Linked DNA regions of Caenorhabditis elegans. The protein of the gene in region 1 interacts with the protein of each later gene in a pairwise test. Each region holds a gene or a part of one and is shown in the gene's direction. Other genes may lie near its edges.

Region 1 (17,780 bases):
CATTTCACTATTTCACTATTTCAACAACAAAAAAAACAAAATCGGTGAAAATTACGTAGGCATGCCATCCAAGATAAGCGTAGTCACTTGAGTTTGCCGATATTTGCAAAGCAGAATCGACTCTCTCCCTGTGTCATCATGTCGACACTTCTATCAAGTGTTGGAAGAAGAGTGAAAGTCCTGTGGAAACAATTGTCCGGCTACTTTAAATTTTGTTTCAATTTTGTTAGGGGTTGGTAAAAAAACAACAAATTAGCCATACATAAGTTCAAATGTTTAAAGTAAAATTAGGTACTTATTGGAAAAAAATTTGGAAAAAAACGATTTGCAAAATTTGCCAATTGTTAAACGTTTAAAAACATTTCAATTAAAAAATTAAAATTGGTAAAGATCTGAGATATTTGCAGCCTGAAAATCAGTAAGATAGAAAAATTATTGCAGAGTTATTTTTCAGTTTATAAAATTTTAAAAATTGTTTTTTTGCAACTGTAAAAATCGAAGTGATAAAATAATAAGCAGGACTAACGGTTCGAAAGATTTTCAACTTTTAGACCCTAAAAAATAAAAACGCTTAAAAAACTTTTTATGGCGGTTAAAAATTTTGAAAAAAATTAGGCCATTTTGTCGAAAATCTTAAATTTTACCAGCTTCTCCGTGCCACAGTTGTTGGAAAATAATTTTTATTGCTTTATCATTTTTTTTTGTTGCATAATTTAGTAGATCTTACATTATGTCGTTGATTGAAATGCATTTAAAGCCGCCTATCGGCTCTAAATGTACTTTAATTTTAAAAAATCCGACTACTAAAATGTGCAATAAAATATGATGATTCGAAAACAATCAACTTTATACCACTGCAACACAGAAAAGTTGCCAAAACTCGAAATTTTTAACCATGATTTTTTTTTAAAGTTCTTACAATTTTTGACACGGTTCATTACGATATCCGTTCATTTTTGCGCATTTGGGTCAGGAGTGTGCGGCAAATTTGGCAAATTTGCCAAGGACGGCAAACGGCAAGTTCGGCAAATTCGACAAATTTGCCGCACACCTCTAATTTGAGTATATTCGTTCAAAATACTCAGAACCGGTTTAACAACTTGGAGCTATCAAATAGACAACGCCAAACGTTTGGTATCAGAAATTATAATATTGTCTATGTAGGAAAAAAACCAAAACAAATTGATTTCATTTTCAGATTCTCAAATTGACGTCCCGTCATAACTACGGATGGTCTTACATTGTCTCTTGGATCGGAATCGGATTTATTGTCATCGGAAGTGCTTTCATGTTCTTCGCCTACGCTGCTGTAAAGGTTAGTAGTGGCAGATGTCACCCCTCCCCCCCCCCCTCGTCTAGTCTTATCTCGTTCGGATAAATATCTTTCGGTTTCTATGGAATTTTCGGATGGTGTACCACACAATATCAGGGTGTTGTCCTTGGATTGCGCGGAAGGGGGAGGAAGAGACCATCCGCTTATAACTGTTTGAGAAGAATTATTACGACTTTCCCCGAAAACAGACATGCTGGCAACCGTTTTGGCAATCATGCATGACTATGAAATGAGATTTTCTGACAATCCGTGTTCGGAAACTACATTCACAGAAATTTCTTTATAAGTATGGTGTACTTTGAACTTACTTTGACACCGCTCATTTTCTAGCTGAGAGACACAACAAAAATTGGAAGACTAGTTTTTGATGATAGTTAGAAAAAAAAATACCAGTCCACAACTTCCATAAAACTCGAATTATATAAATTTAGAAAAAAAAACTAGTGATCCCAAAATATGAAAAATCTATCAAAATCAGTATTGCAGTCACTTTTTCTATCGCGAATGTGTGAAGAAATTTGTATTTTAATTTTGAACTCAAATGATGGAGCAACGATTCGGGCTATTTTGAACCCAAAATGTGCAGTGTCACACACATTTTGACTTTTATAGCGGTTTTTGAGCAAATTTTTGAAACTTGTAATAAACAGTAAAGTTCATTTCAAAAATAAAAATATTTCTTCATAAATTTCTCAAAAAACTTTGACACATCGGTGACACTCAAAATGTGCTGAAAGGAACGAATTTTTGAAATGAAACTTCTCAAAAGTATTTCAACATTTTTTCTATTTCGGTTAAAAATTTTTGCTAAAAACTCCAGTTTTGGCCGCTTTTCCGTGTCGCATTGGTCGGAAGTTGACTTATCATAAAAATTCATTTTTAGTCACCTATTGACTTTAAATGTCTCTCAATCAACGAAATAACGTGTGATAAACTACCAAACTATGCGATAAAGGATGATAATTTAAAACAAAAGGTCAACTTCGGACCTCTGCAACACGGAAAAAATGGCCAAAATTTGAGATTTTAAGAAAATTTTTTTCAAATTTTTAACCCGCCATTTTGAGATGTTTCATTATGCAATTCATTTGAAAACATTTCCAATCAATACATTCTATTTTAAAAACTTTATATCACTTACCAAAAAAAACACTTTTTGTTTTTGTTGTTATTCTATCTATTGATCTATCATCAATTAGAATGGACAAAATAAAATAGTAAACGCTTCCCACCAGGCACTAGATATTGCTTAATTTGTTGAAAATTGGGTCATCTCCCATCGGAATAGGTCTTTGAAGATTGAGAACATTGTTTGACTATTTAGACGATTAACATCAGCTAACCTAATGAATTTATTATTTGATAGAGAGAAGAGGAGGACGCGCTGACAGCTAAACACGGTGCCTACATGATGCCAAACTACTATGACAAGGGGGCTGGAACTATTGTGCCATACAACTACAACACGTACGCTGGATATGGTGGCTACCCATATTACAATCAATACAACACTGCTGGCTATGGATACATGACTTATGGACGTTAAAGAGTGTTCTTCATATTGCAAAGAAGCCCTTTATTCTAAATTTTTATAGTACTCAATCAAGAAACGACGAGGTCCATCACGAATATTCTCACCAAATTCTATGTTTTTTTTGAATGTCAGAAGTTTTATTCTAGCCTTTTCTTGGAAAGTCTAGACTTCCAGTAATCCTCTTCCTCTTCCACTTGCCAACCAAAAATTGTTGCCGTTTTGTGTATGTGTGTATCGCATTTGTCACAGTTTCCCCATAATGTACCTAAACTACTTAATAATGTTTTTTTCTCAACTTTGTCATTCTGAGTTTAGTGTTTTCTTGTTCTGATTTTGTTGGCAATCCCCAATCCGTTTTATGTCCGTCTTCTCATTTTTGTACTGCCACTCCTTGTTTGAAATTATCGAGTTTGGATGGAAGACCCTTGGTGCTCCTTTTCCCACTTGTCTTATTCAAAATGCCATCTGCCCCCTTTTTTTGTTCAGTTCGTTCAGCAAGCACAATGAATTTAAAAGATAATCGATACTCGAATATGCCACACCTCAGTTCCCATTTAATCATTTCACTTTTTCATACTTTTAAATATGTGAAACACTTTTTTTCAGTTCATACCAAAGTATCTAAATAAATCAGTTTGATTGTAAGAAAATGATTCAATAATTTATTATTTATGACAACATGCGAACGTCCAATATATCATTAAAAAAGCAAAAAAAAGATTTTATTCAACGATTTTTATACTTTAATTTTGTTTGTATTACTCTTGTTAAAACATTTTGTGGTCGGAACATGCGGCATTGCTCTGAATTTCCTTCAAAGCAATTTTTTTAAATTTAGCATTTTATCAAAATTTTGACTGAAAACTTCCATAAATGTAAATTTTTTTGGAACATTTTATTATGATATTCGATTTTTATAAGTGTATTTAGACAAAACCCCTACCTGCGCTACTTCAACTTTAATAAATGTACGCTAAAATTATTCGATCAATTTGTTCTCAAATTTCCTGACCCAAGAAGTTTTCAATTTTTGCTTCGTCTCTCACAATTTTATTGGTGGACGGAAACAAATACTTATGGGTTGAAAAATGCGACATATTTTAAAATTTGTTTGAAAGTAATATTTAATTGTTTTGTGAAATTGACAATTTACCAAAACTATGACAAATATTGCTGAAGGTGGTGTAGCACCAGTGGGGAAATTGTTTCAAAATACATATGAAGCCAAAATGAACAAGTATCATGGTAATTTTTTGAATCTAATTTTTATATGATTTTAAATTGGAAAAATGTCTGTTTTTGCCACCTTTTTGGAAGTTGTCGATCAAATAAAAATTGTTTATTTGATTTTTATGCTGTGATTATTTTTGAATTAATATTTAAATATTGCAAGGATTAAAACATGCGACATAACTAAAGTTTTCTCAAAAAGTGGCAAAAACTCGGTCTTTTTTGCCAGTTTTTTATAGTCAATAAATTCTTTTTTCTCTTATGAAATTGTAAAATTACAGACGCTGAATATTTCAAAAATCAAGAGGGTGTTTTCTCCATTTACCTACCAATGATCAAACAATTTTCTTAGCTCACGAATGAAATAGTGCACAAAGTTTTTATTACATTCATTTGCCGAAAAAATTGAATACCATTGGATGTTATGAGTTTCGGAGTTTGAAATTATGCTCAAATTATACTATAGGTTTTACAGAAATCAGAAGGTAGCACAAAAACATTAACAGATGGAAGATGAGTGCAATCAGTGGTAGAAAAATGAATTAAATTAAATTTTGGTACCTATTGGTTTGTACCATTTGTTTTTGAGAATACTAAAACTATTACGTTTTAATTTATTTAAAAAAAATCATCTGCTAAAAACATTGTTAATTGCCGGATCAAAAAACAAAAAATTTTCGCATAAGAATTTTGATTGGTGAGCAGAAACTGAAAGCAACTCATTACCGGTTGTGAGTACCTACCAATCTGTCAGTAAGTTGCTTAACCTCCGCTTCCCATTATGTTTACCCTCTCGTTTGCGTTCACAATGTGTCGCAGTGTTTCTTGGCAAACTCTCGACTTCTTTCCGCTCACCGGTATTGGGGACGGTTGCAGAAGCATCAGCAGGCCCCCCCCGAGTCTTCAAGCCTTCATCGGAGGTACTGTTTGCTTTCAACTGGCACACACACACACACACACATCGCGTCTCGCAGCAGCATTCACTACAAACCTAGCCTGATTCCTAACCACCACTTAGCCTTTTCCCTGCCTCACCCAACTAGACTCGACACATTTGGCTCCCCTCATGTTAATGGCAAAAAGAACCGAGTGAGAATAATGGATCGAAATGTCAACTCGCCACGTGTACTTGCCGACCAACTACGGAGGTTTATTCAGAATCCGGATTCGACTCCTTCAGGTAAACATATATCCATGACAAGACGGGAGTGTATTCAAACTGAACACTTTTAAAAACCACCACCAAATAGGCACTTTTTTCAGGGAGCGGTATATCTTTATCAGATGCTGGATTTGTTTTGTTATCTTTAAAAGACCAAATTTTAGCGGACTCAATAAAGTAAGTAGTTTTGAATTTTTTGTTGGCGTTGATGTTCCAACATTTTCCAAGCGAACTTTCTTCACAAATTTGAAAAAAAGTTTGATTAAAATTTACAAAAATGACAGTGTTTTCTATTAGTATATTGGAGCGCAATGTTCAATTTTGACAGCTTATACCTAAGTTGTCGATTGTATCATTAAAATCAACTAGCAACTTACTAACAACTTATTTACAATGCAACAATGTCAACTAACAAAATATTTGTTAGAATTTTTGGTACATGTGTATTACATAGTTATAAAAAATTTAAGCGTGTACAGTGCATTTGATTTTTCACTTCTACGACTTTAAAGGAAGACGGATTTATGCGGAATGGTCTTGCCGCGCGTTTAGTCATCATTTTTAGCAGTTTCTGGGTAAAATTCGCGTAGATCACATGTATATCACAAAATATTTATCTCATATTTTGTATTTCTGTTGCTTTCAAATTAATTGTGCTTTCACGCGTGATCTACGCAAATTTTGAACAGAAACTGTTAAAAATGATGATTACGCGCGCAGCAAGACCATTCCGCATAAATGCGTGGAAAAACCAATGCACTGTAGCATATTTTTGAACTTTTGAGCTTAGGTAATAACCATTTTTAAGCCCAAAAAAATGAATATCACGTTAAATTTCAATGGAGAAAGGAATGAACATTAAGTAGAATTTTAAAATGAGGGCATGTAAAACACAAGTACCGGTTTTTTTTAAACATAGTTTGTAGTTTATCACTAATAGATATGTTTAAGACAAAGTGTGATATAACATTTTTCAATGCAAAAATTATTTTTAGAAACAGAAACAGTTTTTCAATTGTTTGTTCACATAATTTTAATTAATTTATAAGGTTTCTTTTACATTCATTAGCCGAAAAAATGCATTGTTTCAAAAACTAGCTAGTATTACAATTACTTCTTAAAAGAGAAAGGTTTTCCGTTGCTCTATTAGTATTTTTAAAAAATGCATTCCCTCAAGGAAAATTTATTTAAATTTTTTTGGCCATTTTTTCGTATCGTATTATCCATTTGGCGGTACCTCCCGCGCTCAACTTTGTGCACTCCCGTGGCCATTATTTAACTCCGACTGAGAAGTAAATACAACAGTGACCGGTTCTAAAACCTCCCACCCCCCCCCACGCACTGATAGCTAACTCCTCCGAACCACAATATTTGCTCCTGTCTGACGTATGCTTCCGACATGAATTTCAATTGTTTCCAGGGCTCAACATTTTTCGCATGAGTTTGTATCAAAGCCTATCAACGGGATTGAACTACTCGGAAAAGTGGTGATTGTTCTGCAGGGAATTGTGAACAGTGTTGAAGGATCTGGATCGAAAATTTCCTACCTGCTCAATAGAAATTCGACAAATGCCAATCGAAAAAGAAAGGCAGCTGTTGCTGAGGCCGATTGCATTGAAAGCATCAAACTGTTACTTGAGAAATCAGTGAGTGAAAATTTGTAAGATTCATGCCATTAACTATCACCTTGCATAGGAATCAACATGGAAGTCATTTCTCGAAACATCAACCGGATTGGATGCCATAATGTATTCTATTCATTCGCCTCAGCTGGACTCCAAATGTTACTCACTCGAGGTTGCCGTTTATCGTTGTGTTTGACAAATTAGAATATCGTTCTCTGCAGATTCTTCTTCTGCTACTAGAACAACCGCAAGGATTTGTGATTTTATTGAGGGCGCTGACTGTTTTGGCAGCAAGAAATCGGGACTATTTGAGGTTTTCCATATTTGTAGCACAACTCAAACATGGTCTTCATACAAAGAAACTTCACATTCAGGTCTAAAATAATACGGCGCATTTCGTAGATTTTCGCCATTTTCAGATCCTTGTGGCTAGACTTTTCAACAAGTTGATTGCAAGCGCACCAACTCCAGTGCACAGAGCACTTGTTAAATCGGAAGTGTCATTAGCCCAGTACAATCCAGAAGTTGTCGAAAAAGTAGGTTACCTATTGTTCGTATTCTGAACGCCAAATTGTTCCAGCTCATTGGATACCCGAATTCATCCTACGGCGGAATGGACACTTTGATCGATGAGTTGAACGCGTGGAAATCACTGAACCAATATGTTGGAGGGTCGGGACCCACCGTTGAGCATAACCACATTTATGGAACTTCTGAAGTGGACGGAAGCAGCATATCGGAAAGAAGTCGGAGGCATGCTCCAAGCTCCAAGATCATGGTAAATTTTCTGTTAGGTTTCATAGCATAATAAATTGCGATATGAGTTTTGTATTGTTCAAGATGTACAAAAAGATTTTAAATTTGTCTGCTTGCGTTGACAAAAAGTCATGTTGTATCTATCAAAATAGGTAAAATAATGAAAGGAAATTTTTAGCTTTCGCCGCGGTACGTTTGGTTATACGAAAAAGCCTAATAGAATAATTTAAACTACATACCCTTTTTCTTTTGAATCCCCAAGATAAAACGCTGTTGTACCCCGTTAATCTTGATGAAATTTTCAATTTTCTTAGAACCTCGGGTACTGCTCAAAAATAAATTCAAGCAGCTGATATGTTCAAAATATATGTTTTAAAAGTCCAACTTGTGTTATACAAATTCAGATTTTTTTTTACAAAAGTTCCAGCAAAGAAAAGGCATAATGAAAACTTCTCAAAAAAATTTTGAGATTTTTTATTTACTGTCAAATAGTGATAACTACTCAGTATTCTTTCAGTCATAATTTTGGAAGTCGACCAAAAAAATCTACGGTTTTTGCTCTTCATTTTTATTAAACTGCGTTAAAACAGAAAATTTGGCAGTTAAAAAAACTCTAAAAATTTTTGGATTGTTTTATCATGATATTCGATAGTTCTGGATCACTATAAGTGTATTTCGACAAAATTTCCACTGGCGCTATTCCACCTTTTGACCTATTAATAGTGATGAACCCTGAATGTGAATTCTTATTTTGTGGGCAAAAGTGCCGGAAGAAGGTAACTTATTTTATTTTATTTCAGCCAGTGACATCCGTCGTTAAAAACGTTGAACGTCAAAGATTCCGAAAGCAGGGTGCTGGCTCCGGTGGAAGAGCTGCCGGCAATTATTACTTTGAAGGAGGTGGCGGCCCACGCTTGACTTATGACCGAAGATCACAAACATTATCGCATGGTTCTTATGCTGGTAAGTGATTAAACATTGAAAATTCGAATTGATTTCTAAATTTTAATTTCAGAACCATCTTCTCCAATACCACCATCCAGAATGGGTTACGCCACCGAGAGAAGAGAGCCGTTCGGTGCGATGAGGCGAGCAAAAAGTGAAAGTGCAATGGTTTTCAGAGAAAAGTACGTAAAGTAGTATTGATAACAGCCGAGGTATACAAATTTTGTTTCCAGCAGGGAAGAGTATGAAAATGATTCTCCTGAAATGGCGCCACGCGGCTTGAAACGATTTGGCAATAACAGTCAAAAAGAGCAAGTCCATTATCACCCAATCCAACAAGTGAAAACCTTGTCTCGAAGCGTTCATGACTTGGCCATCCGCGACGATGATCCAGGAACACTACTTCGACCAGTTTCTGCACGACCACCATCATCAGCGTCTCGAACACCGTACAGAGCAGTGTCCCCAGTTCCAGTTTCACCAATTATAAAGCAAGATGCTGACATACCGTCTAGACGACTATCTAGTGCACTTTCTCCAAGAGCACGATTTGCGGATCCTCCGATTGTTGAGGCTCAGCATCCTCACGCAGGATTTTCATATTTGTTCCCACAACAGCCAGTTGTCAGTTCAGTGTACAACAAAAAAATGATGTCGCCGGAACCAAGAGAAGTGACTGTACGTTTTATTATTCAAAATTGCAAATGTTCCCAACTTTTCTTTATAGGTGAACTACTAAAATACGCCATAAAGGGCAAAAAAAGTGTATTCCAGCTACGGTGACAAAGAAAAATTAGCGAAATTTCAGATTTTAGGAAAATTGGGGTGTATGTTTTCGAAATTTTTTTTTGGAAATTTTTTGAGTAGTCTCATTATGAAATTCGGTCGTTTTGGTCCGGTATATTTAAGTTTGAAAATTTTCAGAGCTCCACATCAAATCGTCCTGTATCAGCGCCCCTGTACGCCACAGCAGGAAATCACGAAGGCTCCAGCCGGCCCCTCTCTCCTCTGGAAATTCAGAACTCAATGTCCGGAACTCATGATTTCGATATGCCAGTTGCATACAGTAATGAGAATGGACAAGTGGTGTATGTTCCGATTAATATTGAAAGTGGAGTCGGAGCCGGGCCACGGAGAGTGAGCAAAACGTCAAAGTAAGGAATATAAAAATTATTGTAATTTTGAACCACCAAAAAGTGACCGAAATTTAAGATTTTAGTTAAATTAGGCTTTTTTCGAAATTTTGAAACACCATAAAAATTCTTGAAAAATTTTTGAGATTCCCATTACGAAATTTGTTCTTTTGAGCACACGTGGGGTATAGAATTTTAAGTTCCCAGAACTGCCTTGAATGTGTAATTTTCACATTTAGGTTCGACTATACTCCAAATGAATCTCGCAGCAATAGTCGTGCAAAACTTCGGAGCCCAAGCATTAACGGTAAAATTAATACTTCATAGAGATTTTTTAATCATTATCATATAAACCTACCAAGTTTCAGGAGAAGATGTTCGTAATGCTCTGAGCCAGTTCGATTACTTGTATGACTATGAAGCCGACCAAAACCCAAAAAATCGCGAAGCCACTTATCATTTGTAATGAAACCGATTTGTCATAAATTTAACCACAGTGTATCCCGAAAATAATTTTAAATTTTAAATTTGCTCAAATATAGGCTTAAGACTTGTTCAAATTAAATACCTTTTTTTTGTATATTTAAAATAAAAATCTTGTTAACATATATATGAACCCTTTTTCTTTGTCTTTTTATTTTTCCTAATTTTATTTGCACGGTAAACCTCCAACAAATTGATTTGAAAGACATCAATGGGATAACCCTGAATCGATTGCGTGCAACCCAAAACAAGGCCATTGGAATTAGGAAACGCTCTCTCTCTCTCTCTCTCGCTCGTTTTCTTTCGCGCCGCCAACAATTTGCCTTGTTATCAAACAGTATCATGACCCCAACTTGATTAATTGGGGAAATATCATTTAGGATGCTTTTTATTATTTGACTATTTGTGGGATTTCGGAAAAAAAATAAGAAAAAAAAAGAATTGGCAGCGACAGTGAACTTGAGAATTTGAATGGAGAAATTGAGGAACACGGGTGTAAATAGAGTTGCAAAAATCAAAGAATTGAGCCTAGATACAGATTAAAATGAAGAATATCAAACATTGTCAAGGTTGAGCAAGATTTTCAGATGTTTCTGTAAATTGGCTGTGGTGGTGGTGCTTGTTCGTAGCTCCATGGTGGCCAAACAAATTTGAAGCAACAACATTGCACTCGATGGTGTTGCACCGGTCGAACCGGTCTCATATCCTGATGATATACCTGTGGCTGTTGAGTGATTGCACCACGTGAAGCTCCAAATGACGACTCGTGTCCTCCACCGTGTGACTCGTGATGAGATCGGTGATGGCTGCTTGATCGGTAGCCGCCACCTCCACTACTTACCACGCCTCCAGGTGGTCCACGATATGGCTGCACTGCTCCATACTCTTCTCTTTCGAAATCATCTCCGAATCCTCCTCGACCATATTCCAGGGCTCTGCGATCTCTCGTAGCTTGCTCCTTAAATCGGGAAGAATACGATTTTGGACTGTCACCCATTCTTCCATCAAATGATCTTCTAGGAACAAAGTCACGGTCTCTTCCGAGAGGCTCCCTTACTGGTTCCTGAATATCTCGATTATAAGGAATGTGTACATCTTGGCCTGCTTGTGGACGACGATCATCAAATCCATAAGGCTCGGCATCTCTGTGACGTGTTTGAGGGGACGAACGGAAGTCATACTGCGGATCACGACCAATGTCACGGCGAATAGGGATGACAACTCCACCATCATTAGGATATTCATTTCGATGAAACCCATCATCATGTCCTCGAAACTCTCTGGTGTCCAATGATTTACTTCTGAATATGAGAGAGCAATTACAATTTCAGTGAATCTTCTGAAAAAAAAAAGTTACCTGGATTTCAGATCAAGCCCTCGATTATCAAAATATGGTGCAGGTTGGGAAAAGCGATCTCCGTAGTCTTGGTCAACATTTGTTTGAGATCTGGATCTTAGTGGTGGGTATTCTCTGCCATATGCATGAACACGTGAATCAATGCCACCACGTGGAGTGATTTGTTGTGATCTCGAGTCACGGTAGTTCATGGTTCGATTCGAATAATCCGGGTTAGCCCCCGGCGAGAAACGACGATCGTAATTCATCGCCGGGAGTAGTGTTGACGATGAACCGACGTGTTTTTGTAGACAGCAAGTAGTGATGGATATATTGCGTTTTTCCCACAAAATAAGTCGGTCGTTCGGTTAGTAGAAAAGGCGATGCGGAATACGTGTATGCGTGCCGCCCAGAAACGCAAAGCGTCTACACCGAGAAAAAAAATGGGGTGGGGGAGTTTGGGCTGATTCACAAAAAGGCGACGGCGTCGGTTGGGCGAGTAGGAAACGGCGGAGAAAACGGGCGTGGCGCTTTCCTTGTTTCTCTTCGAGAACCATCGACGATAGCCACGCTAAAAATTTGTTTCTCGACACACGACGCCGCCTTGTGTTTCATCTAATTTCTGTCCTTCATTGAATATTAGCCAGTCCTCATGAAATTGTAATCAGCGGGGAGAATGTGAAGAGATAGAATGTTGGTTAACACCTATCAGTGACAAGTTGTTATTGATGACTGGCTATTAAAAGGAAGTAATCAGAGATCTGTCAATTGAGAAGCAAGTGTAGAGCGATTTATGGATTCAGTTTATTTAAATTTATGATACTCATGAGTTTCGTTCCCTCCAAAATGTTTTGGTTTTCTAAAATATAATTTTCCACCTTTAAAATAAAAACGTGAGCAAAAGTAAAGAACAAAGCATTAATTTCTACAAATCGTTCCAAAAAGTTCACGCTTTTGTGTTTAATTTGAAATTGGGAATATTAAAACATTTTTGGGGGAACAAAACCCATAAGTGCCAAATTTATTATTAAAGTTTAAACGTGGAGTCGAATCAGAAGGAAAATTGTTAAAAACTACTCCCATAGTGCAAAAATGTCCAGATATCATATAACACTAGTAACATAGTAAAATTTTGTTTTTAAAAAAATAGAAATTTTTTCAAAAATCATTTACTCAGTTTTGCCACTCATAACTTTGGAAGTCGACCAAAAAAAATTTTTTTTTTTAATTCATATATTTTAATTTTGTTTTAGTTCTTTCTGTAAAACATTCTAGGGATCCAAAAATGCGACATTGTTCTGAATATCCGTAAAAGCTCATGTCATTCCAAAATTTTAGTTTTTTTCCAAAACTTGGGCTGGAAATTTAAAATAATCTAAAATTTTTTGGAGCGTTTTATTGTAATGTTTTAATTATTTTGAATTCCTCAAAAATGGAGTAGCGCCATAGTAGGTGTACTTAAATCCAATCCCTACTAACACTACTCCATCTTTAAGAAAAACGCACTTTTTAGGCACCTGGCAATTGATTTTAAGGCGGTCTACGTCCTGTGGGGAAATTATTGGAAACTACTCATATTATGCTAAAACAACTGAATATAAATAATTCTTAAATTTTTCATAAAATTTTGGAAGCTTTTTTTTGTTTTAAGTGAAAAAGTGGTGCAACCCACTTTTCGACTAGTATTTTAAAAAATTCCAAATAAAAATTATCATGGTAATTAAAAAGAAACATTCAATTGTTTTTCATTTGTTTATGATTGCACATATTTGTTCTTTTGGTTTGTAAAAAATTGATGAAGCGGAAATGTTGATAAGAAGCTGTGATAATTTTCATTTAGAACGGAACCAATTCTTATCAACATCCCATCCGAACAGGTTTCTCCAATGAATGATTTTTTCCGCTGAGAACCGCTTGACCGGTTCAAAAATATTGTCTATATTAAAAATCTTTACGAAAATAACAGTTATGTACACAGTAAAAAGTACAGGATGCTGTAACATGATCCCCCAAAACTTCATGTCCTCACAGCAGTCCCCAATCGTAGTTTAAAGATCCGACTCGATCCGAAACCGTTTGCTTTTCGATAGCGCATGTGGACACGGGTCACTCGTACCGAACACTTTTTCGTTTTTCATCGCATGTCACGGCGAGAGCTGTCAAAACGGAGGAAGACACGATGAGACGACGCGAACGAGAAAAGGGAAGCATTTTTTGACAAGCTCTTTTCTCATCCTAGACAGTTTGCTAGATTAGGGCTCATACTCAACAGTCGATGCTAATAACAATGCGACTTGTTATTCCATTTGCTTTAATTCTAACGTCAGTGGGATTTGCTGACGGGTTTATATGGCTACCATTTGTAAGTCAATGTTTTCTTCCATTTTTGCAAAACTGTATAAATGAAATTAAGGCTAATCTGGGATCAATGTTTGAAACCTTGAAACAAACTGCGTTTCATGAAAAATTGGATTTCAACGAGCCAGACTCCCAGTATTCATTTTTGGAATTTGGTACTTCTAACTGACTTTTTTTGACGTTTTTTTAATCTCTCAGGTTCAGGAAAAGACTTGTTCAATAACATCGGTCAATACCTTTCATCGGCAATTGGGAATGAGGATAAGTTGACAATAGCCACGAATTTAAGAGAGCTTTTCAATCTAACAACATCAACTCCACTACCAAAAACGCCGAAAAGATTTCGCCCGAAAATAATACCAGTTGATAAGCCCGAGACAACAAGCAAGCCAACTCCAAGACCAATGCCCACTGTTTTCACATTTCCTTACACTACGCCACATTTTACTACAAGCACACCAGTCCCTGAAGTTACATCAACCTATGATCCCAGACCACGATTTAGATATACAACCACTACCGAACCGCAGATTATCAAATTCGTGAAGACAACAAAACCTACAACTACCACTGAAGACACTACCACAGAAGACGGTGAGAAACTGTTAGAGTGTGGGGGAATGAGTTCCAAAACTATTCTAGAATAAGTCTAAAAATTTAGTATTAAATCCTGTTGAGTTTGCACGCAGCGACACACTTTTTGGGGTTCTATCTATGGGGCTCTCTATTAATTCTTAACAGTTTTTACGTTTTGAATTTTAACGATCAACAGGATTTAGTACTAAATTTTCATATGCAAAAACTTCAGAAATTTCGGACAGAATTTTATTTCAGATTGAAATATCAGGTGTGCACAACAAAATAAAGTTATTGGATTTTTCCTAAACTTTCCTCCCTCCAATATTTCAAAACTTTCAGACATCATAAGATTTACAACAACGACTGAAAGAGTCAGATATGCTACATTTTCACCAAACATTCCCATGACCACCTCTACAACTCCAACAACTACAACTTCAACTTTTCCAACCTCAACAACTGAAAAATCTACGACAGCTCAACCTTCAACGACAACGAAACCAACTACAACATCTCCACCAACAACTCAAGTGAAGACTATCTTGCCAGCTACAGAAGCACAAAAAATTTTCACAAAGCCTCAATATCAAATCTGGCCTACCACAACCCGCCCAATGACAAGTACCTCGCAGGCTGTAATAAGGTGGGGTACATTATTCACGATAGGTAACTAGGTAACAATAGGTAATAGGTAACTAATGGAAAAGTTATACTTTTTGCACCTTTATATGGTAGTTATAGGAAACTGTAAGTTACCTACGTACATTTAATTGTGAGCATCCATATCCGAGCTGTTCTAATATACTTTACACTCAAAATTATAATTTTTTGTAAAAAAAAAAATTCCAATTTGATTGTGAATGCTATAAAGTTGTATGTTAAAATTATTTTTCACAAAACAATTAGGCTGGTATTACCTATTTAAAGCAACTAATTGTGTTCATAACTTAAATTGTCGAAAAAGGTGGATTTTGTCCACTGTTTGATTTTTCTGACATATTTTGTTTTCAAATTTATTAGTGTTTATTTTTATTTTTATTGGAACCAGACTATGCTGAAAAGCACGAAGGAGGCACGTAGGCAGACTAGAAGTTTCGGTTAGGTATTGTGGATAGGTTGATTAGACACGTAAGCGGACAAGCATGACGTAGGCACACAGGTAGGCAGGCAGAAACGTGGGCATGAAAGAGGTAGGTGCGTTAGTAGGCGTGAAACAACCATGTGATTTTGTGCGACTTACATAAGATTTGTCGGCACTTCCAAAATTCTTTCTCCAGCACAATATTATCAACTCCGTTTATCTGGAATTTTATAATGTGCCGCTTGTCGGTTTGCCGGAAAATTTGTTTTTTATTGAACGAATTCGACTGAAACAAAATACAAACGTGCATAAACACTAATTAATGTGGTTTGCAAACAAGAATAAAAAACGAACCAAAAATTAAACGATTGAAAAAATACTCTTTTTTGCCAATTTCAGGTAAGTACAGATTGAGTGGTAGAATCAAGCTAAAATTAATTTTTTGCAGAACCCAATTTTATCTGAAATAAAACTATATAACTAACAGATCAATCAAACGCCAATTGAAAAAATATCAAAAAACAAAAATTTCAGAAATTCTAATTTTTGAGTGCTTGGATATATGTGATATTGACTAAATATACATAACTTACAGTTTCCTATTTTTTATAAAAGTTTAAAAAAAAACAAAAAAAATTGACAAAACTTATTACTCACCCAATATGTTTCAGCTCAACCGAACAATTCATCCGTCCATCATCTATTATCCGGAACAATGTTTGGAAGAAAGTGACACCTTCTGTGACTCCTGAATATACAACTTCTGTGTTTTGGACTACCCCAATGTCAGTAACTGCAGAGCTTCCATCTGAGCCATCCACAATCACAATGTTGATCCCTACTCCACCAAGTGAATATCAGACTGTTTACAGCTCAACGGCTGGAATTCCGTTTATCATTAAAGTATGAAATCACCATTCTTTCATAGAATTAGAGAAACAATTCTGATTTTGTCTTCAGGCTAAAAAGTTCACACGCCCTCCAATTGTTGAAAAAATTGCGGTCACCTCTGCTCCCCACACCAATAAATATGACACATGTGGTAAGTACATCTTGCATTGTCTCTAATATGTGTACATAAATAATTTACAGTTGTATGTATATGATTTTAATTTCAGTTCCCGATCAAAGATGCTCCATCAAACTGAAAAGTTTTGAGACTTCTGATCCTTTATTCCAATACTGCTACAGTCACTCAACAATGATCGACAACTCCATTCAAGATTTGCTCAGGGTAAGGCAAAATTTAAAATTTTTATCCGTTACAATTTTTTCAGGACACCCAAACCGCTTCATCACTCCCACAACACATTTCTTGGCACAGTTCAGTGACCCCGGAAATTGTGCAACTAGTTCAAACTTTAATGTCACTTTATAGACCTTCAAGATGTTTAGTAATTGGTGAGTATATTTCATGTATGTTACTTGGAGAATAGATCAAAATTTTATTTTTCTATGAGGGGCTTAAGCAAGTCACGAGTCAAAATTCATAATGTTTTTCGCTGTTTACCGATTTTTCTGATATTATGCAGGTTAATGTTGTGCCATGAAGCCATGATTTTTCATTTCACGGTGCTTTCCAAAAAAGATTTTCGACCAGGCTCAACTTTGAGTCACTTCACGTGGTGTGGCTCTTTTTAACGTACTTGTTATAATGAAAAATTGATTTGTATTGTTAAAATAAACGTTCAGGAGTATTCACTGGTCTTGGATTACTCGGTGTCGCCGAAAGAGTTGATTCTCGAGGAATTGTTGTCGCACTTGAGCATCCGGCCTATGCTGTTTTCTGGGATAAAATTGGGCAGAAGCACGCAAGAAAACTCACGGCTACGCAAATGTCCAGAATTCAAATGAGAACATCTGAAAGCATCGAAAAATCATTGCCTCGACTTGCAACAAATGAACCCAACACTTTCGATTTTGTGTTTCTGGATGATTTTAAGAGGGAAAACTATTTGGATGATTATGAACACGCAATTCGACTGATTCGAAGTGGTGGTCTTTTAATCATTAACCAGGTCCCTCATTTCTTAATTAGAAATAATAGTTTTACGTTTTGTTTTCTCTAGGCACTCAATGGTGGTGGAGTGATGTCATCGATTGATCACATGACCAACGATGACAGGGTCATTCGAAACATGAACATACGCATCAAACAAGACCCCCGGGTGAGAAATTTAACTTAAAAATTTTTGAGACAGTGAAAGGGGGAGTATCGGTTTTGG
Region 2 (15,189 bases), on another chromosome or scaffold:
GGTACCCTTACGATCCTTCTTATCTGAAGGATCAGAACATCAGAAGGTACCCATGTGATCCTTCGGAGCTGAAGGATCAGACCATCAGGAAGAGCCTCACGATATTCCAAGTTAGTTGGACGTTTTACAGCTTTTCCCAAAAGACCATCGTTCATACATTCAATTGTGAGGGAATTATAACCGATAATCGATTGAAAATTGCATTAAAAAACTTATTCCAGAAAAATGTGAACAAAAATTAGTTGAAAAATACATATAAAAATCTAGTGGAAAAAAAGGTTGTCACCAAAGATATGCCCCCCAAGATACACCCCAGTTTGTCTACTGGATCCTTTGTCTCCTTGGATACTATGCCCCCAAAGAACCTTTGCCACCCAAAAAGTTTGTCATCTCGGAATGAAGGCCTTCACCTTTTCCCTTCTTTCCCTTTTTCTTCTTATCCTTTGTGGAATCTTCAGAATCCCCTTCCTCAACACCTTCACTTGTCAATTTTCCCGATTTTGCTTTCTTCTTTCCACCACATTGAACGAGCAGCAATAGTATCGGCGAGCCAAACAACATCAAGAGATTCAACAAAATTTTGAGCATTTTTTCGGAGAATTGGTAAACTTTGACGATTTTTCCTCACAGAAAACCACTATCCAAGAAGAGATGAGCTTGCCCAAAAATCAAGCAATAAAATTGAAATCGAAATTTTTATGATGTAAATAAAAAAAAACGTAAGTGTAATTTTAGTTTTTTGTTTAATTCTGGGAAGGTCACGAGAATTTGAATTATTTTCAAACGATATGAATATTTCTATAAAATTGGCGAAGCTTCAGAACAAAACACAGCAAAATCATGGAGATATTTTTAATTTTTAATTTCCAGAAATTTTAACTTTTATGAATTTTAAATTTTTGAATCACGAGGTGTTCCAAATTGGCTTTCATTATGTATATTACCAGTAATTTGCACGCCCACTGATTTACTTTGACAGCTCGTTTCTCGGTTCTTTTTGGTTTTGTCAAAAAATGATAAACTAAAGAATGTAGATAAATATTTTACAAGTATTGTGTCAGTTGAACATTTTTTGATAAAGCACAATAGAGCCGAGATACAAACTGCCAAAGTAGATCAATGTGGGGCAAAAAATTCAGAATTTTTAATTAAAAGCCCCTTTGTTCTCCCGTCCAGCGTCGTTAAATGTTCAAATATAGTTGGCACGGTGCCAAGACAAATAGAGCACTTTTGCTGTGAGGATGCAGAAATTGACATTTGCAAGTGAGAATATTTAATGTTGGTGTCTATTTGTTTGGGGGCATTCGTTAGTTTTTTATCGTCCTATACATATAGAATGGGAAATGGGCTATTAATTGTGAAAATTAAAGTAACAATTAAAACTTTTATTTGTATTGATAAATTGTACTGTATTTTGTTAGAAATTACTACAGTAACCCAAAGTTACAAAAAACTATAGCCTAGAATTTTCTAAACTCGGAAAACTTTTCCAATGGCAGCAATAGCTTGAGCACTACCTTATTTTCATGGTTTCCCCAGAATTTCAAGCAAATTTTTGAGAACTCGTAAAACTTCATGATCCAAGTTTTTAAACAATAATACATATTTCTCGTACTTTCTATACGACTACATATACATAAATCATAAAAAAACACACATTTCTAGCTCTAAATTATAGTTCCAATCAGTTTCAGCACACGAAACTTTTATACAAATTCAGAGAATTCTGGCGCCGACCCAAATGATTCGCGTTAATCGCATCAGAACCATACAACTTTTGCCACCGTCTCGCGTTGCAAACCGGAATTCGTCATCATTGAGGGTGTTTGAGAATTGAAAAAAAGTGTTTTTGTGTTTGTAACTTGAAACACCACTACTTTGTGTTCAATGGACTGGAAAACTGCTTTAAATTTGGATTTGGTGAATGAGGAGAGCGGGGGACCTATATTTCATATAAAAGGAGAACGTGGCCGTCAAGCGCGGAAAGCTCTTCCATCTTGGTACTGATCGACTAAATGGGTCAGTGTCCCCGTCTAAACTGAACCATTTTCAGAAAATTTCAAAAAAAAAGAATTGTAGTCGAAAAACGAAGGCTGCTACGGTAAGATTTTATAGGCAGGCAGGAATGAGGTAGGTGTAGTGCCTATGGCTGTATTCTCAACTGTTTTCGAGACATTTTTATTATTAACAGTTAATTTACAAAAATATGTTATCCCGTGGTGCTCTGGCTATTTAAATAAAGAATTCCAACAAATAAAAACTAAACAGGGAAAATTCAATTATTTCGAGTTAACGTAAAAGAACTTACTAAAGCTTAGAATGCCTACATGCCTGCCTCTTGCCTACACTTGTACCTACATACCTTCGTAGGCAGCTTAGACACACAGGCATGAAATTGACAAAGACTACAGTATCGCCTCAGTAATCTACAATTTTAAATACACATTTCTAAAAAAAATTGGATGCGCTAACTTCCAGGTAAGGACAAACATGGATAACTGTCTGCTTTTGAGTTTCGCCTACTGTGCTTGTCTTGTGCCTAAATCATTTGTGCACATATCAGATCTGCAACTATAAGGTAGGTAGGCATCAAGGTCGACCTGCCTACCATGAGAGCACGACCAAATAGACTGAGAACCTATTTTGACGTTTCCAGCTTTCGAAAATTATTTTTTGGAAAATTAGAACTCTCAGAAACTCGATTTTTTTTTTGAAAGTTGTGGAAAGGATGGAACTTTAGGAAAAGTTCTCAAATGCTTTGGAGAACATTTCGAAACTAAAAGTAAAATGTGATCAGAAAAAAAGCGGGTTTCTCTGTAATTAGCCATAAAACATCCTCCGATCGGTTGGCTATCAAATCGGCATCCTCAACATCAACTGGAATCGTTAACCGATAATATCACATTATCGGTTACATTGCTGTATATATACATTGTTGAAGGGATTTGGCATCGAATTGAAAAATTAGAAAAAAAATTCAAGTTGGAAGTCTGAATAGAGATTTTTCCTCTTTCAAAACTATTTTCAATCTAAAAAACCCTGAAATATTTGCAAATCTGCTTATTATATTGCGAAAATTTGCGATTTTAATGTAAAAAGACGGGTCTCGAAGCGACCGGGTTTTAAAGGGTACTGTTGTTGGAAATTTTTTGTTGCTGCCATATTTTAATTGACTATCTCAATTTGTCCCCCGTTTCTTGAAAATTTATCGAAAAAATGTGAAAATGCATAAAACATATACATAAAAATTTGAAGAACCTGGAGAAAAACTATGAAAAATCGATGAAAATTTGGCGAAAATTAGGAATTGGAAACTACAGTACTCTTTAAAGGCGCACACTTATTTGCAATAATTAAAAATCGGTCGCTTCGAGACCGAGTACAGTATTTTCGTGCAAAATATCAATATTTCATCTCTGTAATATGAATTTAACCAAAAAAAAATGCACTCTATTTTTATTCCCTAAAATTCCGATTCGAAAAAAGTTGAAGCTTTAGTTCTCCTGCCCCAGAACGCAATTAAAAAAAAAAAACTTTAAAACTTTTATTGCGGTTTTTGAAAAACCCGATAAGTGAATGATAAAATAAAATACATAAAAATCCGAATAATAATAATGTAAAAATGAAATTCTAGACAAATTAGAATATTCAGTACTTCTTCTTGAACATTTGTTTTCTCTTCAACTTTCGCTTCTGCTCTGCGGTAACTTTTCCGCGAACGAATTGCTTCTTTCTCAGATTGATTTTCTGGAAGTTTTGATCGCTTTTTGATGAACCGCCGAGTTTTCTGGCTGCTGGATTGTAGGAACGTGCTTTGGCAACATCTTCGTTTCTGAAAAAAAATTATAGATTGATTTGCATGAAATGTGTCAAAAAAATGCTTAAAATAGCCTGGAATCTGCAAATTTCCGAAAATTAAAGCTCGAAATTTCAATGAAAATCTAAAACTCACGTCTCATCATCGAATTCTTCAACCGGACCTTCAACTTCTTGACCCTTTTCCGGCGTTGGTAAGAGAAGCATTTTGAGATCCTGAAATAGGAAAATGGAAATTTTAAATTAGTATTTAAATAAAACAAACCCTCAATGGTCTCTGGTAAGCGCGTTTTGTTGGAGATTTGATCGGTGTTAGCGTAGATTTAACGGCAGATTTTGATGTGCTCGCGGAGTATGACTTCACAGGGGAAAAGTCGTCGAATTCGAACGGAACTGATCCCACTGGCTTCTGAAATTTAGTTTATTTTATTATTATAAAGATTATTAAAGTTTCAAACCTTTTTAGGCGACACCATGCTCTTTTCCGGCAAAACTTCGATCGCAATCATTTTCTGCAATTTTATTTTAAATTTCAGCAGTTTTTAATGCGATATCAACCTTTCTGGGTGAAGATCTCAGTGGAATTGGATTTTTATCATTTTCCGAGCCGAGCTGATTAAGATTAACTCGTTTTTTGATAGGGCTGAATTGCTCGCCTTCCATCATTTTCATTTCGAAATTCTTCCGCTTCACTCCACGTTTCGCTTGCTTCTCTTCGATTTTCTCGTCATTCTCCTTCTTTTCAGATTGAAGTATAGCTGAAATAATAATTTAATGTAAATACGTTTTTTTTTCCATTAATTACCTTTAATATGATTCGGAGCTACAGAAATATCTCCTGCCGTTGGTGATCTTCCATAAATCTCTCGGAAAGACGTTTTCCACTCTTCCATTACGTTCGGGCTGAAAATAATTTAAAAATTTAATTTGAAATCGAAAAGATTCGGCAGAAAACATGTGAAAACAAAGAAAATAAGAAAATAAATAGAGAAAATGAGAGCAAAAACCAAAAAACCAGGAGCTGTTTTCAAAACTCGCGCCAAAAATGTGTGGCAAGTGCGCTCCACCGCACACTTTTCCAGCGCTTGCTTTGAATCGCAGCTCTGTTTTATATATTTTTTCCACGTTTTATCTGAAAATTTCCAGATTTGTAGCCTTTTTTCTGTATTTTCTTGCTTTTAAACTGATATTTTGATGAAATTTTCTGAATAGGATAATATGAATAGAGAATATGAACTGTCAATTAGGAAACGCGTGCTTATTCCATATTAGGAATAAAATTTTAAATAATTCTACTTGGTTTTTAATTAAATTCAACTCCTTATTGTAAAGTTTGTAAACATTTGACTAATTTGAAGCTGTATTCCTTGAATTGTACTAAATAATTTGTTATTTAACATTAACATCATCTTCCTCTATCAAATATTTAGCCGAATGACATTTTCATTGAATTCAACTTTCTCTCCACTCCAAAACCTTGGCTCCATGAAATTGTCGAACTAATCGAAGAATTGCTGAAAAGGGATATGTCTCTGTTTCCATACTTCTTCTCCATCTCCCTTGCTTTTCTATTTCATTTCTCTTGCGGGTCCCTAATGATGGCAGGAGAGCCCCGTCCGCTGCCTTCAGTATATTCCAGGCTTTTCGCTCTAGAAAAAACAATCGAGAAGCGCGTCTTCTTCCTCTTCCCAGTTCTTGTTGCCTGCCATTCGTCCCTCCATTTTTCACATCGTCGTCTGCGTACCATATTGTGCACACATTCCCCTTCTCACTTTTTTTTTGCGTTGTCTCCGTCTCTTTGTGTCGTTCAACGTGTCTCTCTCTCTCTCTGCCCTCACAAAACCGGCTGACACGACACGGTCAGAGAAGAAGAGTCTGGCCACTGCTGCTGCGCCCGTCGCCCCTCTCTACGCTCCTTCTTCTCCACCACCCACTTCTCCATTCGCTTCCATAAGTCGGATGACGTGATACTGACTTCTTCTCCTTCGTTCACCATTCTCCACGGCGTCGACGTCCCTTTTCGGAGATGGACACGTTCGAGCTCGACTCGGACGCCTTCTACATTTGCACAGAAGTGTCACCGCGAAACTTTGTCGTTCAGAAGGTTTGTGTCATCTAATTTGCATTCGGGCGTGCCTCTGTGTAACGAAACACTCCTTTAAAGATTTGTATGTAACTAGAAAAATAAAATGGCTACTTTAAAAGTTAACAAACCCCATTTTAGTAGGGGTTTTTTATCGAAAAGTGTCAGCTACTTCTACGTCTACTTTCACTTAGTCTTCGCACCTATACCATAAAAACCGGATCTCGTTTCACTTTTCTTTAAGTCGTATATCGTGCGCTCCATAATATTTCACGGAGAGTTCAAATATTGCTTGAAATAATTTTTAGAAATACTCCGTGCTTTCCTTGAGTAAAGATAATTTTTTTTCTCAATTTTAAAATAATTCTGAAATATTTTGGAAGAATCATCTCAAAAGTTCATTTTCTGCATCTGCAAAAAGTATATTTCGCTTAAAAACGTATGACGCAAAGCCCCCGTTTGAATAACAGTTTCCAAAGTACTTTTTAAGTATTCTGGCAGCTGAATTGCACCTGCCTGGATATATTTCTCGTAGAGTTTTCCCGTGTGTTGTCTACTTCTTGCCCCATTCTGCCATTGAATTCTGCCACTGAATTCTGAAAATAGACGTATATATTTATTATCAAATCTTTATGATGTTTAATTAATAGGCACCAACTTTTTTTTCCTTTCTGACTCTGACGTAATTTAGACAAATGTATAATAGAGGAAAAAATGTGATTACTCCAAAACAATTCTTCCCGTGACGTCACGAAGGTTCACACAACGGCATATTTGTCGCTTCTGATCGATTGTGTTTCCAGAACTGGTCCTTCTTGGGTCAAAGACATAAAAAAATGTATGTGTATGTACGCGCACACCTTTAACCTCTTCTGTCATCACATCTCAATTTATGCGTGTCTCAGGCTAGCTACCCCGCAGCCTACTATGTTTTCTCCTTTGTGTCTCCAACGGCAGTATCGCATTGACAGCACCCACAAAAAATTTATGAATTTTTCTCTTATTTTGAATTGTACAGCGTCGAATTTTTAGTTTTCGGGAATTTCTAGAAATTGACTTTACTCCAAGTTTAAATTTTAAAAATTAAAAAAAAAGTTCTAGGTCAAAGTTTGTTTAAAGCTTTTCCCGTCCCCTATTGAGAAATCATTATTTTCTTCCACGAAACAGTCTCTTCCGCCACCCCGAAATTCGTCATTTCCGTGATTTTTTGCACACACGAATTTTGCCATTTTCTCACCTCTGATAAGCCACATTTTTCGCGTCCCTCCCAGAAAATCAATTGCACACTCTTATCATTAGCAACAGCCTTTGAGTTGCAGGGTTTTTAATGATTTAACGATATTATTAGTGCTTGATCAAGTCCGGAAAATATTATTCTAATTTTTGCAAAAACTTTTGAGTAAATATTACTAATTGTTCGCATAGTGGGCGTAGGACAAGCTAATTTTCAAAATTATGGGGGAAAACGATGCCAAAAAAATTAATGCATTCAAAGTAAAGATACGGATTATGATTATAGGCAATCCAAATCGACAAGTCACAAATTGAAAGAATGGTGGGAAAGTTCGATGGAAAGGTGGCAGTGGAGAAGACATCTTCACCAGGCTCCTCTGTGGGAACATCTAACGCCCACTCACCAGGCACGTCACCGTCGACATCAGCGTCGGGTGCCAGCGGTATTCCCCAACCACCTCCACTTCCTTATTGGTAAGCGAACGTCGCTACTGTTGCTGCTGCTGCTGCTTTTTTAAAAATCGCTTTTGTCGACTATCATTTCTTTTCTGTTGCATCATGATCTTATTTCATGTTCGTCCCAACAAAAAAAAAACTGTTCTGCTGCTTGTTCCTGATGATGCGTGCGTAGCTGCCACCCTTCTCTCTGGACTCTCTCGGATCTGTGTACACTCTCATAACGTCCGTATCGACTGATGAATCATCTCCATTGCTGGCTCTCGCTCTCTGTGCGATCGCGAACGCATCTCCTTTCTCGGCACACCATCATTCACAGTTCGTCCCCCTGTCCTCTGTCCAAAAGTGGTTTTCATCGCCCCTCACTCGCGCTTACTTCCCCCCCCCCCGCTTGTTCGTCGCCGCGCCCGTTCATCCGCCTTACACTCATCTTTCCAAAGTGACCAGATCACACAGCCGTCGTCGTACAACATGATCGCTATAATTTGTGTTACTTCCTCATTCCAGCGGTTTGTTTCGTTTTTTTGATGCGATCCCCGATGGGAAAATGGAGAATTATGTCGATAAAGCCTAGTTTTTACAACAAAAATTCAAAAAAATTCTGCTGATTAAACTAGTTTTCGCCTTTCAAAAAAAACGTATTTTTTAAATAAGGAAAGCAAATTCCCAGAATCTCGAATTGTCTCAGTATGAAAAGCATTCCGAAGACTGCGTGACACCGCTCTGACTCCGCGGGACATCGTCTTCTCTTATCCATTCCGAAACATCCCACGCATCACTCCTGTTTCTGTACATCTGAAACCCAAACAAATGACACCATTCATCCGTTCATTCGTACGCCTCGTATTTTCAATCCCGAGACGAAAAAGAAGAAGAATAAGAAAAGTAGAGAGAGATGGAGAGAAACATAATCAAAAACAGCATGTCAGTTCTTTATTTCTCTCACTTTTCTTAGCTTCTTCTCTTCATCCCATCCGAATGCACTAATTAGGATTCAAAAAGATATACAAGAAGCTTTTAAAATCGATTCACTCTTCTGATTTCGCCGTTTCGTTGTATTCGTTGTCTTCTCTTCTTTTCCACCACGTCTATAATTTCTTCTATTTCCAGGTTCAATCGTGAGTGTAAATCATCACTCATGATGATCGGCCCCCAGCCGCCGGGACCTTCTTCGGGGATGTCGATGCCCTCATCATCATCAACGAATCAGTTTGTGCCAGCAGTTCCACCACCACCACCGTTGAGTCGTGAAGAGATTAAGCAGCTGTTGAAGAATCAACTGGAGTACTACTTTTCCAGGTTAGTGCCGGTGCCGATTTTATTTAATAAATATTCGAAATTTCACTAGTTTCATAGTGAAACAGGCTGAAAATAAGCTCAATTGATCGAGTTTTTATGGCATATCAAAATTTCGAAGAAAAAAAACCAAAACTCACGAAAATCTGAATTATCACCAAATTTCCTTTGTCGCAGCAGGTGCAATATAATTTTCATTGAATTATCATCCTTTTTACTCACATTCGACTTAAAATGTGCTTAAAATCAACGAATAACCGCAAGAAAAACTATAAAAACGTGTAAAAGGTGATAATTTAATAAAAACTATGTTCCAGCAGTCGCTGTGACAAGGAAAAGTTGGCGAAATTTCAGATTTTTTGCCCTTGGTTCTCTCAAAATGTTGCCCACCATAAAAATTCTTTTTTTGTTGTTTTAAAAATTATATTATTTTACAACAAAAACCGCTCAGTTGATCTTAGACCAAAGGACAAGTGAACATGCCGGCTGTCAATCCGGAGAAAAACACATGTTTTAGTGGTTTTTGAAGGCAGAAAATAAATTATATAAAACATGAGAAATGGAGATTAAACAACTGATTTTTTTTTGTTTCGTTTCAGAGAGAATCTGAGCTCGGACCGATATTTGAAATGCCAAATGGATTCGGACAACTATGTGCCGATCAATGTCCTTGCTGGCTTCCCGAAAATAATGCGGCTGACTACGGATGTCGATTTGATTGTGGAAGCGCTGAAAGGTATGTGAGATTATATGATCCAGCAAGAAGTGCTTCAATTTCATTTTCTATGTTTTGCAGAATCAACAAATGTGGAATTAGACGAAAAGTTTGAGAAGGTCAGAGCTATCACCAAGCGGAAAGTAATGCTAATCCGAGAAATCCCGGAAACGCATCGAGAAGTGAGTCAGCTGTACGAGGAATTCAAAATATGAACGGTTCTTTTTTTCAGGAAGTAGTCAAATTAATAGCAGATGGACCACCGTACACTGATCTACAGTATGGAGTTAATGATGGTTGGTACGTGACCTACGAGAATGAGTTGGACGCTCAAGTTGCCTATGTTGCCGTGCAACACCGTAAAAATGAAATAACACAGAAGCAAGTTTGTGTAAGTTTAATAACTTCGAGTAGCGTGAATGGGGATTTTGCTTCAAAAAATCCAAAATTGTCTTAAATTCAGAAACAACATGGAAAAAACACCGAAAAATCGCGAAAGAAAGAAAAATCCAACTTGAATAACGATTTTTTAATTTTTTTTCCAATCATAATTTAAAATTCCAAAATGATTTTTTAATTTTTTAAAAGCGAAATCCCCACTCATGCTGCTATGTATACTTTTGAATTTTATTTCTAAAAACGAGCAAAAAATTTTAAGGCACGTATAAAAACTTGCGGTCCTTCGACATTTGCTCCCCCACCAGAAGAGACGCCACATTCAGAGAATGGACAAATGACGACACTGGGCAACGGCGAGCAGGGCACAGTACATCTTCGAGAGTTGGGGCAAACGCTTTCTGATTATGGGTTTGTACCTGTGGCCACTTACCGACCTGGAGACCCGATTTCGAGCCACTTCGAGTACATCACACCGACGTTCCGCTTCTCTGGAAACAGCTTGTCATACAATCCTCCGATGCCTCCTGTGCCTCCTCTACCACCACAGCATCATCAGCAACATCAGCAGCAGCAGCAGCAACAACAACCACCTCTGCTTCAAAATACTCCACAACCATATTACTACGGATCAAGTGTCTCGACGACGCCACGGAACTATGATGAAATGTCGACTGCCTCGTCAAACTCCACTCACACCACAACATCGAATTATAATAATCGCAATGGAAGCAGGAATGGTGGAAATCAATATTATGAGTCACGTAGCAGCTTCTCGAATTCAAATGAATGGCGTTCTCGTGGTGGTGGTAATGGTGGAAGATTCCAGAATAATTATAGTGAAAATAACGGACGGCAAAGTAATGGGAGTAATGGCCGATGGCGTGGAAACAATCGAAATGGAGCAACGACGAATGGTTATGGTTATCAGCAACATAACAATCGACAGAATCATTATCAAAATGGTCAACAACGTGAAAACGGAGAAAATGGACATCATAATCATTATCAGAATGGGCAATCTTCCAATTCTTGGTGGTCGGGAAATGATGGGCAAACCCGTCAACGTAAACAACAGCACAATGGCTATAATAATCGTCCAACTGTATCATCATCTTCCTCATCGAGTACGAGCTCCAAATACTTTTCTCCGGATGCTGTCGAAACTCCGACTAACTCTGGATCAAGTACACCTCCACAAACATCGGTTCGCAATCCGAAATATCATGTTCCTACACCAACGGATCTTCCACCGCCTCCAGTATGGCCTGCACCAAACTTTGACCGGAGAAGAAAAAGTTCGGAAACATCATTCACAACGAACACGACAACTAATACATTGACACCATCGACTCCAGTCACTCCACCCGTGTTGCGACCGGCATTTTCTGAATCTAAAGCTCCGCAAGAACCATCAAAACCAGTGGAAACGAAGGAAAATAATAAGCCAGCTCTAACTGACGATTTTCCATTGCCAGAACCTTTGCCGCAAAAACCGAAAATTGAGACGAATCATCATTCGGCTGTGGAGAAGGATGCGGAGAAAATCAAAGTGGTAAGTGTTGAAAAGAAAAATTAATTCAAAAATTCCACAAATTAAATTCATTATTTTCAGCGCTCCCCGCCCGTCGTTGTAGCTTCTTCTCCAGCACCTGCTGCTCCATCACCATTTTCCTTTGAAGAAACTGCTTTCCCTTCACTTCCAAAGAAGGTGGAACCTGTGAAGCCGCCACAAAAACCGACGTTCAGGTAGATGATGACGACGTTGTCATTTCTATCCGACAATCGTTATTATCGTTGTCATGTGATTTGTGTTGTGATTGGTATTGTGCCATAAAAAAGGTGTGTATTGAATTGAAAAAAAATATTGAAAATAGTCTGAAATTCATAAAATATTGCTGAAATCAAACGATCGATACGTGAATTTTGCAAAAAAAAACACTGAAAAAGAGGCGGAGGGTATTTTCGCAACTTCGCGGCACGGTTTTTTCTCCTTTTTTTCGCTCGTTTTCTATTGCTTTTTTGTTGATATTTTTCAATAAAGTGCCGATTTTACTTGTTTTAATCTTCTTTTTTGAATGAAAATCTTATTTAATCCAATTCTCGTAAGACTGTGAGGATATTTCATGCTAAAATAGCTGTAAAAACATGAAATATCTTCACAATTTTATCAGAATTAAATTGGATACCATTTTCATTCAAAAAAGGGGAATAAAACAAAAAAATCTGAACTTTATTGAGTAAAATCAACAAAAAATCAATTGAAAACGAGCGAAAAGTCAGAGGAAAAACTGTGCCACGGGGTTGCGAAATTACGCCCCTCCTCTTTTTCTGCGCGACGTCGTTTTCTTTGCAAAATTCACGGTTCGATAATTTAATTTCAACAATATTCTGTGAATTTCAGCCTATTTTGAGTATTTTAATGCAAAAGCTCTGAAATTCTAATTTCTTATTGTTCCTTGAAATTCTAATTTTCAGTTCCGTAGCTGCTGGTCGGCTGAAAAAGATCAAACAACTCGTTCCGGAGAAAAAGACGTCGTACGCTGAAAAGGCACAACAATATCAGAACAATCACAAAAAATGAATTAATTAATCAAATTTTTTATCATTCCACACACACACACCTAAATAGGCCTTCGTGTATCCTTCTAGTCTGCTTTTCCACATTCTTTTCCCCTAGTTTTATGAACCTATTCAAAAACTGCCCCAAACATAATTAACATTTCTCTTTTCTTGACTATCAATCAATCAACACAAAAACCAACCAACTCTCTTCCCATCGACGTGTGATCCAATCCATCCCCGTTTCTGTAGTTATTTTCCATATCGAACACCTCATTGTCTGTCCTATCTCTTGATCCGTGTAGTATTTCAACTTTTCTGTTCTCGGTCATTTTCCCAGCAACACACAAAAAAATCAAATCATCACCAATTTTCACAGCCTCCGAAACTGCTTTACTCGTAGATTGTTTGTTTTTTCCGTCCCCCCATTTTTCACTTGTTTCCTGTTTAATATATATTTTCCCCTTTCGATTATTGCGTTGCCAAACCGAACGTGCTTTACCGCATTTCAATTGTATTTTTTTCCGTTTTTCAAAAACCCCCCTAATCATTCCCCCACCACCACAAAAACCATTTCTCGGGACTCCCGCATTTTTACAATTTCTGGTATCTGGGACCTTTTTGGAGAGTATTATAAATATTTAATTGGGATCTCTAATAATTCTGTTTCACTTGTTTTAGTCATTGAGCTGGTTTATTCGATGAATTCAAATTCGTTGTCAGAAATGGGAAACAATAAAAAATTTTGACAAAGTAGGTAGATAAATATAAATGTACAACATTGCTCAGAAGACGTAGAGGATGAGGATGCAGATGAGATTGATGAAGATTGGAGCCAGGATGTGAAGGTTGATGTGTTCAGTAGAGACTGAAAATGTATGAAATTTATGCATGAATACAATATTCGAATCTTACCATTCTTATAATAAGTGCTTCCGGTCCCGAAAATCATTTGCGAAATAAATTTGAAGAACATGCACAGCCAATTGAAGATTGCACTGAAAATCGAGACGATGACACTTCCAATGGTGTATTTTTTGGATTCCTCCTTTTGAAGTGTCTCGTCAATAATCGGAAGATCAGTGTCTTGTGGAATCTGAACCATTTCTGGAATCTTGAGATGCTCCTTCAAATCGACAAATTCTTGAAGACAGTGTGCTATGTCGATCTTCTCATTGTCATCTTCAAGTCGCTTGACAGTCTGTTCCACGGTATCTTTCAGCTTTCCACCATCTCTTTTCAAAGCTTCCAGAATTTTTATGATCTGAAAATTTTATTTATTTTAATTTGATAATTGAAAAATTTTGTTATATCATACATTCTTCATCTCCCTCTCGAAAGTCTTGAAAATTTGAGTGAGACTCTCCGTATTTTTGGCTCTTGTCATGAATTCCGCTATCTTGGCAACCTCGCATTCCTTCTTCTTGACAAGAATCGGCAACGATGACAGAATGGTCATTGCGTCGGAGAAGTCCTTGTGAACGCGAGTCTTCAGGACATCCGCACTTTTTGTGTTCATTCTGAGCTGGTAGTTGAGCTGAAATATGGGTTTTTTTAAATGAAAATAAGTACAATAGATTATTTGTTTCGCTTACTCTGATCGGAAGATATTCAATGACAGTGTGGTGAGTAGTGTTGTGATCTTTCAGAACACAGGTCGAGCAGATTGTGAATGCGTCCGGATGGATTGAAGGCTGAAAATTATTATGTGAATGGCTGTTTTCAATAACTGAAAACTACCTCCTGATCGATAAAGGTATGAATATCGTATTCGTGATGTTGAATCGTACATTCACGGCAAATGTGGAAAGAAGTCTCCGATCCACTCATTTTACACGAAGAGCAAGTCATACAACGAAGATCTTTTGGAACAATTGCATCTGAATATTTCAATTTTTCATCCGTTTAATTGAGAGAACGCGGCTCTGGTGTTTGTCGATTTACGATGTACTTGTCAGGATTTATTTGTATGAATGATTTTACAGCGTCGGCTTAAATTCATGATTTTTGGTGGTTTTCCTTGATTCTTTCTGGTTTTTTACTAATCTTTTTATACAAAAACGAGTGGCCACAAATGAGAACCTTCGGAATATGAGAATTTGCATCTGAAAATGGGAAATATTCTCAGATAGAAGAAAACAAAAATTACCGAATTCTTCCATACAAATCGAACACGTTGGCTTCATATTAAACTTCACATCTCGAATAATATCTACATTTTGATAGAATGAAGCTGGCACCAAAGACATGGTTTATTTCGGATTTTGCCTAAAAAAGATTGTTAACTCAATAGAATTAAAAGAAAAATGATTGATACATTGGGAGTCGAGAGAATGTTCTGCGTTTATTCATATTTTATGACTCATATCTGTCAATATTGCATTAGTCAAATAATTGTCTTATGATTTTGTGTAACATTCATTAAATGAAACTCTTCTAATAAAGTCAATAGTTCATTACAATAAAAAAAGTTCAGATATATTTACTGAAAGAACGGGAGAAAAATGATAAAACTATAACTAAAACATTGAAATTAACATAAACTTATTCACTGTAACTTCAGGCTTATAAAAATTGGCGAATGAATCGCAGGGGCCTAACAAAACAAATACCAGGAATAAAAATCGTCATA

Evidence for each region.
Region 2: the proteins of F53B3.3 (region 1) and larp-5 interact in a two-hybrid assay, tested with the Caenorhabditis elegans proteins (one large-scale study listed by BioGRID).

The regions. Positions count from the first base shown.
Region 1 is NC_003284.9:2,858,476-2,876,255, reverse strand, and holds F53B3.3 (CLASP_N domain-containing protein), read left to right. Parts: upstream 1-5,118; 5' UTR 5,119-5,195; coding exon 5,196-5,277; intron 5,278-5,360; coding exon 5,361-5,436; intron 5,437-6,510; exon of another isoform or gene 6,511-6,679; coding exon 6,680-6,905; intron 6,906-6,954; coding exon 6,955-7,056; intron 7,057-7,105; coding exon 7,106-7,258; intron 7,259-7,303; coding exon 7,304-7,420; intron 7,421-7,464; coding exon 7,465-7,662; intron 7,663-8,440; coding exon 8,441-8,603; intron 8,604-8,655; coding exon 8,656-8,767; intron 8,768-8,818; coding exon 8,819-9,263; intron 9,264-9,509; coding exon 9,510-9,739; intron 9,740-9,957; coding exon 9,958-10,025; intron 10,026-10,086; coding exon 10,087-10,184; 3' UTR 10,185-10,342; downstream 10,343-17,780. Other genes in the region: F53B3.5 (Conserved plasma membrane protein), read left to right, coding at 1,199-1,315, 2,700-2,879; F53B3.6 (RNA-binding protein 6), read right to left, coding at 10,785-11,502, 11,559-11,806; comt-1 (Catechol-O-MethylTransferase family), read left to right, coding at 13,825-13,899, 13,951-14,050, 14,100-14,489, 14,814-15,117, 16,227-16,458, 16,516-16,597, 16,674-16,789, 16,833-16,956 and 2 more.
Region 2 is NC_003279.8:3,730,988-3,746,176, reverse strand, and holds larp-5 (HTH La-type RNA-binding domain-containing protein), read left to right. Parts: upstream 1-5,691; 5' UTR 5,692-5,842; coding exon 5,843-5,920; intron 5,921-7,418; coding exon 7,419-7,606; intron 7,607-8,698; coding exon 8,699-8,887; intron 8,888-9,483; coding exon 9,484-9,620; intron 9,621-9,680; coding exon 9,681-9,781; intron 9,782-9,831; coding exon 9,832-9,990; intron 9,991-10,257; coding exon 10,258-11,550; intron 11,551-11,610; coding exon 11,611-11,748; 3' UTR 11,749-11,837; intron 11,838-12,473; coding exon of another isoform or gene 12,474-12,579; 3' UTR 12,580-13,317; downstream 13,318-15,189. Other genes in the region: math-46 (MATH (meprin-associated Traf homology) domain containing), read right to left, coding at 366-588; sld-2 (Ribosome biogenesis protein NOP53), read right to left, coding at 3,649-3,832, 3,953-4,032, 4,082-4,225, 4,275-4,328, 4,375-4,574, 4,622-4,709; T12F5.2 (RING-type domain-containing protein), read right to left, coding at 13,343-13,425, 13,473-13,821, 13,876-14,094, 14,153-14,251, 14,298-14,437, 14,707-14,806.